2 linked regions of the Cricetulus griseus genome follow. The protein of the gene in region 1 interacts with the protein of each later gene in a biochemical or structural test. Links are inferred from orthologs where the notes say so. Each region holds a gene or a part of one and is shown in the gene's direction. Other genes may lie near its edges.

What was found.
Region 2: the proteins of Nf2 (region 1) and Sptbn1 form a complex in vitro, tested with the Homo sapiens proteins (2 studies listed by BioGRID and IntAct). The link is inferred for Cricetulus griseus from reciprocal best matches to the Homo sapiens genes NF2 and SPTBN1.

What each region holds. Positions count from the first base shown.
Region 1 is NW_023276807.1:100,111,700-100,115,352, forward strand, and holds part of Nf2 (merlin), read left to right. Parts: intron 1-799; coding exon 800-913; intron 914-3,653. UniProt on the Homo sapiens protein: Probable regulator of the Hippo/SWH (Sav/Wts/Hpo) signaling pathway, a signaling pathway that plays a pivotal role in tumor suppression by restricting proliferation and promoting apoptosis.
Region 2 is NW_023276807.1:77,212,413-77,216,065, forward strand, and holds part of Sptbn1 (spectrin beta chain, non-erythrocytic 1), read left to right. Parts: coding exon 1-259; intron 260-3,653. UniProt on the Homo sapiens protein: Fodrin, which seems to be involved in secretion, interacts with calmodulin in a calcium-dependent manner and is thus candidate for the calcium-dependent movement of the cytoskeleton at the membrane.

The sequences.
Region 1 (3,653 bases):
TCAGTTAAATTCTTGCTTCATGTCTTTTGGCCACTTTCCTCTTGGGTTGTTTGTTTGTTTTCTTTATTAATTATTATCCTCCTTGTGAGGCTCATTTTCCTTCTTTATGATGTTATAGCAAATAAAAATTTTCACCTTTCATGTCAACACATAAAATATTTGGTCATAGCCAGGCAGTGGTGGTGCATGCCTTTAGTCCCAGCACTTGGGATATAGAGGTAGGCTGAACTCTGTGAGTTCGAGGCTAGCCTAGTATACAAAGCAAGTTCCAGGACATCCAGGGCTGTGACCCAGAATGCCCCCCACCAAAAAAAAAAAAACCAATCCTCAATTATTTGTTGTTCTGTGTTTTTTTACTTGACATCTTTTTCCTGATTAAAAAATACTCTATATTTTCAAATTACCTTTTAAACTGGAATCAGCTTTTTGGTATGAGGGAGAAGGAGAGCTTATTTCTTTCCACATGAATGACCTTTAACCCAACCCAACTTCCTGGTTGGTCTTCCATGTCCCCCTATCTATCCTGCCACATCTTGACTTAGGAGACTGTGGTACATTTGGTTAACTAATGCAGTGTCCTCTCTTCACTTGTGATCTCCTGGTTTGTCTGAGACACCTTCATCATACATGTTTCCAGAACTGAGAGCATTAGAAGACATTAGCAGGGCTTTTGTGCTTTATCCACTCTTTCTTCCTTGGTTTACTGCTGCTCACAGAGCCCAAGATGCTGGCATGGTGGGCTGGTAGGCAGCAAAGTAAGTGTATACACTTAACATGTTTTCTATTTCTGTGGCTACAGATTCTCCAGCTGTGTATTGGGAACCATGACCTATTTATGAGGAGAAGGAAGGCTGACTCTTTAGAAGTTCAGCAGATGAAAGCCCAGGCCAGGGAGGAGAAGGCAAGAAAGCAGGTAAGACTTCAGGTTCTGTTCCTTTCATGTGGTTTGTGTATATATGTATTTGTGCTCTTGATTTTGGAGGCCACAGATCAACCTTTATTATCATTCTTTAAGAACATCTATCTACTTTGGCCGGGCGTTGGTGGAAAATGGAAAGAGAACGGACTCCAGAGTTGTCCTCTGATATCCACACTTGTACCATAGGACATGTACCACACATTTCATGCATTCACTCAAACACACAATAATGAATAATAATAACCAAAGATCTTGTGTTGTTTTGGTTTGGCTTTTTTGTTTGTTTTATTTTTTGGTTTTTTTCGAGACAGGGTTTCTCTGTGTAACAGCTCTAGCTGTCCCAGAACTTGCTCCATAAACGAGGCTGGCCTCAAACTCACAGAAAACTTCCTGCCTCTGCCTCCCAAGTGCTGGAATTAAAGGCGTGTTCCACCACACTTGGCCTAAAGACCTTGTTTTAATTGGTATTGCTTTTGGTCAGTCTTGGCCTATGAGATAAGGGATGGCTGCTGTCAGCCTGGTAATAGATGTATCTGCTCTTATTTCCTTCCTGTTTTATCTTTTTTTTAGCTAATGCCCAGATAATGGGGTGTCAGCTATGGAAATAAGCACATGGCTGGTGAGATGGCTCAGTGGGTAAGGGTAATTGCCACCAAACCTGACAACCTTAGTTAGATAGCCAGGAGTCACATGATAGAAGGAGAAAACTCACTTCTACAAGTTGTCTTCTGACTGCTATATGTACACTTACAGACACAAATAAACATAATAAAAATTTTAAAGGAAATTAATACTAAATTCTAATAGCATATTTAAAAACAAAAGATCTTTATCATTTCTATACTTATCACAGACTTGGGACAAGGTAGCCAGGCATGGTTTTGTCTTTCTGTCCTTTTTTATGTCTGTCTCCTCTACCAGGTCAGTGCCCTCCTAATTAGATGGTGATAGAATACAAGGTGGCATTCAGGGCATGTTGTAGAATGTTGATTAGGTTCCTGCTGCATTTCCTCACTGCAGGTCAACCTAGGCATACATGACTGGCCCTCTGCAGGAGGTGCTAGCAGCATCTATCAGTAGACTGGACTAGCTGCATCGATGTTTTCTGCTCACAGACTCCTCTGCTCACTGAAATCCACAGCTAATTTGAGCCTTGCTGCTGAGAATATCAATTGTGGTTTGGGATGATGTGTTTGATAGAGTAGCTACAGCTACAGTTGGCTCCCCTCAGGACTTGTAAGCTCAGAGGTGTAATAATTAGTCTGTGTGGTGTTCTCTGATTTGGGAAGCCCAGAGAGGCTGGCTCCCAGCACCAGGCTTTAGAGAGAAATGCGCAGTTTGAGCCATTGCTCTATGAGCTTGCCCTCTGTTTGCTTTCTGGGACATGGGCCATCAGTGTTTTTTTTTTAATGCGTTAGGGATGATGGTATAGGTTCTTTTGGACAACAACAAAATGCTACTAAGCTAGCATGGGGGTGTAGTGATGACTTTAAGAAGCACACTCTTTGACCTCACTTTCAGCAGAGGAAAGTTTAGAAGTTAGAGATCTAAAGGCAGCAAGGCGAGTGAAGGCCCCTGGACCCTAGAAGGGAATAGTGCAAATGCATCCAGTGGAACATGGTGATCTTACAGCTAAATCTTTTGTCTGTGTGACTCAGTTTTCTCATCTGTCAAGTGGAACTGGTGATGCCTCTTTTCAGAGGACAGATTGCACCTGGAAATCTTCGTAAGTCATAACCTGCTTTGAAAACAGGAAGTCAGTATTATTTAGGGTAAAAGTCTCATGAAAAGTACAAGGCTGGGAACTGGGGACAGCCAGGTCTTTTTTTTTTTTTTTTTTTTTTTTTCAAAAAGAGAATAATAGAAATTATATTTTAGTGGGAATTGAAGAACAGATTGCCGACTGTTCACTGAGGTCAAGAGGAAACTCAAAGAACTTAAAGCTTATCTATTTTGCATGATTCTTTCAATTACAGGGTGCTTAGGGAGCTCATACTTAGAAAGGGTGGCCTTGTAGTACTAGAGTTTGGGTGAGATTGAAGCCAGAAAGAGTAATTAAACATGATTTTGTTATCTAAGGCAGAAAATAGTACCTTGGTCACTTCTGGCTCCTGCTTTCTGAACTCAGTGCCCTGGAGTCACGGAGAACTGTGCTGTCTTTAGTCTTGGTCCCTTATTAAGCTTGGCAGGTGGCCCAATTAACACTGTGATCCAGAAGGCTGGGGGTGGCAGTAGAGGCTTTGTACTGTTTCTGTAAGGGTGGGGTTTGTGTTCCTGCCTGGCTCTGAGTTGCCTCCACATGGGGCTGTACAAGACTATGCAAAGCCACTGCAGCTTCCTGCAGTGAAATTCTGAGTGCGCTATTGTGGATGAAATTGTGTGAAGGGGCCATAGGGACTAACAGTGTCAAGGTGGCTCATCTGAACAGATGAGAGAGCTGTTTTTTTCTGGGCCACTGCTTTGGGGAAGGGGGAACTATGTGGAGAACTGCCAGTCATAGAACAGAGCCATGTGAAGTCATGGAGACTGAATTTGGGTTTTGTAATTTGTATTCCCTATTGGAATTTGTTTCAAGGAGTACAGCTTTTAATTCTGCAGTTAGTTTAGGACAGGGGGCAGCAGACAACGAGAATGACCCAGGCTACCTAAAGTGAAGACACTAGAAGGATCCCCAGAGGAGAGTGAGCCTTCAGAAACTGTCCGTTCTTGGGTGTCTGCAGCACTGTGACTTGGA
Region 2 (3,653 bases), about 23 Mb from region 1:
TGCCACCATTGCTGAGTGGAAAGATGGTCTCAATGAAGCCTGGGCTGACCTCCTGGAGCTCATTGACACGAGAACACAGATTCTTGCTGCCTCCTATGAACTGCATAAGTTTTACCATGATGCCAAGGAGATCTTTGGCCGCATCCAGGACAAACACAAGAAACTCCCTGAGGAGCTTGGACGAGATCAGAACACTGTGGAGACCCTACAGAGAATGCACACCACCTTTGAGCATGATATCCAGGCTCTGGGCACTCAGGTGGGTGGAGCTGCCCAGTGCAAGGAAGGCTCCTTGTAAGATTATCTTTGTGCATCATGAGCCTCTCTGTATCCCATGGCTACTCAGAACATATCTGAAATGACTACCCAGATTAAACACGTGTGTACACACAAACTCCACACACAGGAAAGCTTTGCAGTCTGTACAGTTTTGAATTTGTCATGCTTGCAAATATTGTTAGATGAAAATGCTGGTGTTTAAATTAGTAGAGGCACATGTAAGCATTTGCAAGTTAATAGGCCTGAATACAAGTTTCTATTAGTTAACATGACCATCAGGATCACTTGGAAAATAATACCTCATTTTTTTCCCACCAACCATCCCAAGAAAGAAATCTATACTTTTTTATTTGAATAATATTAGTTTATTTTTCTGCATTGATTATTTTCATTAATTTTTTAGGTTAGCAGACAAATTGATAAATCTGAAGTCATATTGATAAATGGGTGTTTTATATTTGTTTCCATTATTCCCCTTTCCCCACTGCCCCACTCCTTGTTCCCTGACCCTACTTCCCTTCCTTTCCTCAGATGGCCCCACTTCTGCTTTCTTGTGGTATATATTTCATTACTTTCTCCTCATCCCTATCCCCAAGATCTCTTCTTTTCTCTTTGGATCTTCTTCCTAGTAGAGACTAGACCCTAACGTTTTAACACACCTGATCTTTTAGCTCCAGCACTGCAGTAAGTGGCTTAGCACTGAAACTGTGCTTCAAAGGTGTTGACAAAGTGAACAGTGTAGCAGTGAGACTCCAATGTGATCACTCTCATCGCCTTCTAATCTCGGTAGCTTCCTGATTAGTCTGAGATCTTGCAGTTGAAAATGCTTTCTAGAGAAGAAGCTGGTTTTGTTTGACTTTCTAATCCTGAGCTGGTCAGGACTTATTAAGAAAAAAAAAAAAAAAAAAACGGGTTACTGCAGGGTCAGTAGGAGACCAGATGGTATATAGTTTTGACTTTGTGGCTATGCTATCTCTATTGGATACAGATGCTGTGCTGCTGTTTTAGGATAAGCAACCCAGTGGGTAAATGAATGGGCAGAGGCTATGTTCCAGTAAATAATTAACCCACATCCCCACCAATAAAGGCCCACACTTGGCCCTGGTGGTTTCAGTTGAGTATCATCAGCTTCACTATGCGCCAGTACTTTGACTTGTTCTGTGGAGGGATCCTCGTGACTGCCATTATCTTCTGACCTCCATTTAGATTCTTGGTTCTGCCACTTTCTGTGGCTGGGAGTTAACCTACTCCTCTACACTTTAGTTTCCTGATGCTTTGAGGATTGAAACAATTCTTGTAAGACATAAGCCCTAGGGTAAGATCTGACACTGTCCCAGTCATATAACAAATGCTAAGGAGCACTTTTGAGATACCTAGAGACTATCAGGAAACAGATCTTTCCTCTGCATTTGTAAAACTATTTTCTTTAGAACTATAGGAGGCTCAAGAGATGGTGAAAGTGGTTTCCTGTTTTTATTTAAATCGCTTTGCCTCACGAGAATGGTGAGTCTTAATACCCATAGAACAAAAACCAACTCCCTTAAGCCTGCTGGATTGCACCTACCTTACCATCTCACTGAGAAAGCAATTTCGAGCCATAAAAAGATGTGTGTCCCTCCTGCAAGCACTCCCCTATCGAATCAGTACAAAGGAGAAGGCGGCCCTGGCACAGGCTCCTCGTCTGTTTGGCTGTGTTCTCTTGTGCTGCCTTGACCTGCCACTGTTTCCATTCCATATAGGGGTACAGCAGTGGGAAGGGAGCAGTCAATCAGGAACAGTCTTGAGTACTTAATTGCTGTGTGAATTTTCCCTGTGTTAGCTTCTCCCACCTTTTATTTTGAGAATCTATAAGAAAAAAAAAAAAAAAAACAGACACAAGAAATGATGATTTGGATGTTTGGATGATAGGAAAATTGATTTTCAAGTCATTTCCTACAAACTTGCTCATGATAGTCTGAAATACATACCTTAAAAGTAGTTTGGTATTAGAGACTATTTCTCAAAGTACCATAGATGTGTGTAGCAGTCAGTGTCTTGCCTGTCAACCTGAAATGGTGGCCACACCCCTTTGGGTGTGGCTTCAGGCAGACTAAAGCAGAAAGAGGGAAGCTAAAGTGTGGTCTCTCTTGCACAGATCTTTTCTCTTGGGTCAGCTGATCTGGAGGGAAGGGGAGAGAAGTGCTTCCATGGTTCTTTATATCTTTCTGTGTAAGTGTCCCCAATAAACACCCATTTATCATTTATCATGGGTCTAGTGAAATCATTACACCCAGTGCCTTCAGATGTGTAAACCAAATCCCATTGATTCTTCTGTGTATATTTTTTCAGAAATTTCATGTTCTTGCCACCACTTAAAATCCATTTGTACAATTAATGGTCATAGTCTACCTTCTCCCAATTCACAGCATTGGGTGTCCCCATCTCATTGTCCCTGGAAGGTCCTTACCTGGCATTTTTCCAGCTACTTCTTACAGACATCCAAAGGCTCATCCAGGACTATTGTCTGTAGACTTTGGTCACATAATTTTATCTCCAGAAAATGTCGGGTTTGTGTCTCAATGTATGACACTGCTAATATGTTAAGTGTTTTATATACAACATAGTAAAAATACACATCTAAGTATTAGATAGTCAGCAGGTGTGATGGCACACACATTTAGTCCCAGTACTCGGGAGGCAGAGGCGGGTAAACCTCTGTGAGCTTGAGGCCAGCTGACATGGTGAGTTTCAGGATAGCCAGGGCTACATAAAGATAGAGAAGAGAGACTTTGTCTCAAAAAAAGGAAGGGAAGGGAAGGGAAGGGAAGGGAAGGAAGGAAGAAGGGTCACTGGTTTTATTATAATGGAAAACCCCCACCATTATCTAAAGTGATAGCCTGTTTTTCACCCTTTTGGCACAGAAAGAGTGTTAACTTTAAAAGAAATATTGGTGTGTGTTGTGGAGGCATGCATACCTTAGCTGTACATGTGTGGGTAAGATGACAACTCTAGAGTTGGTCCCCTCCTTCTACCATTGTGTGTGCGTTTCGACATTAAAACTCAGATCATCACGCTTATATGACCCATGCCTTTACCTGCTGAGCCATCTGTCACCCCCTACCCCCACCCCGACCCGCTTTTGAAGTTAGGATCTTATGTAGCCCAGGCTGGCATGGAATTCACTATTTAGCTGAAGGTGACCTTGAGCTCCTGATCCTCCTGCATCTACCTCAAGTTTGGGGATTATAGGTGTGTGCTACCACACCCAGCCAGTCAAGGAGAATATACCTAGATGTGCCCCTGCAAAACAATGTCTTTACGTCTCAGGGTACCTGTGGGGAACCTTTCCTCAGCTACCCTGTCTGTGTTCCTGTACATTTCATTTGTTTCATTAT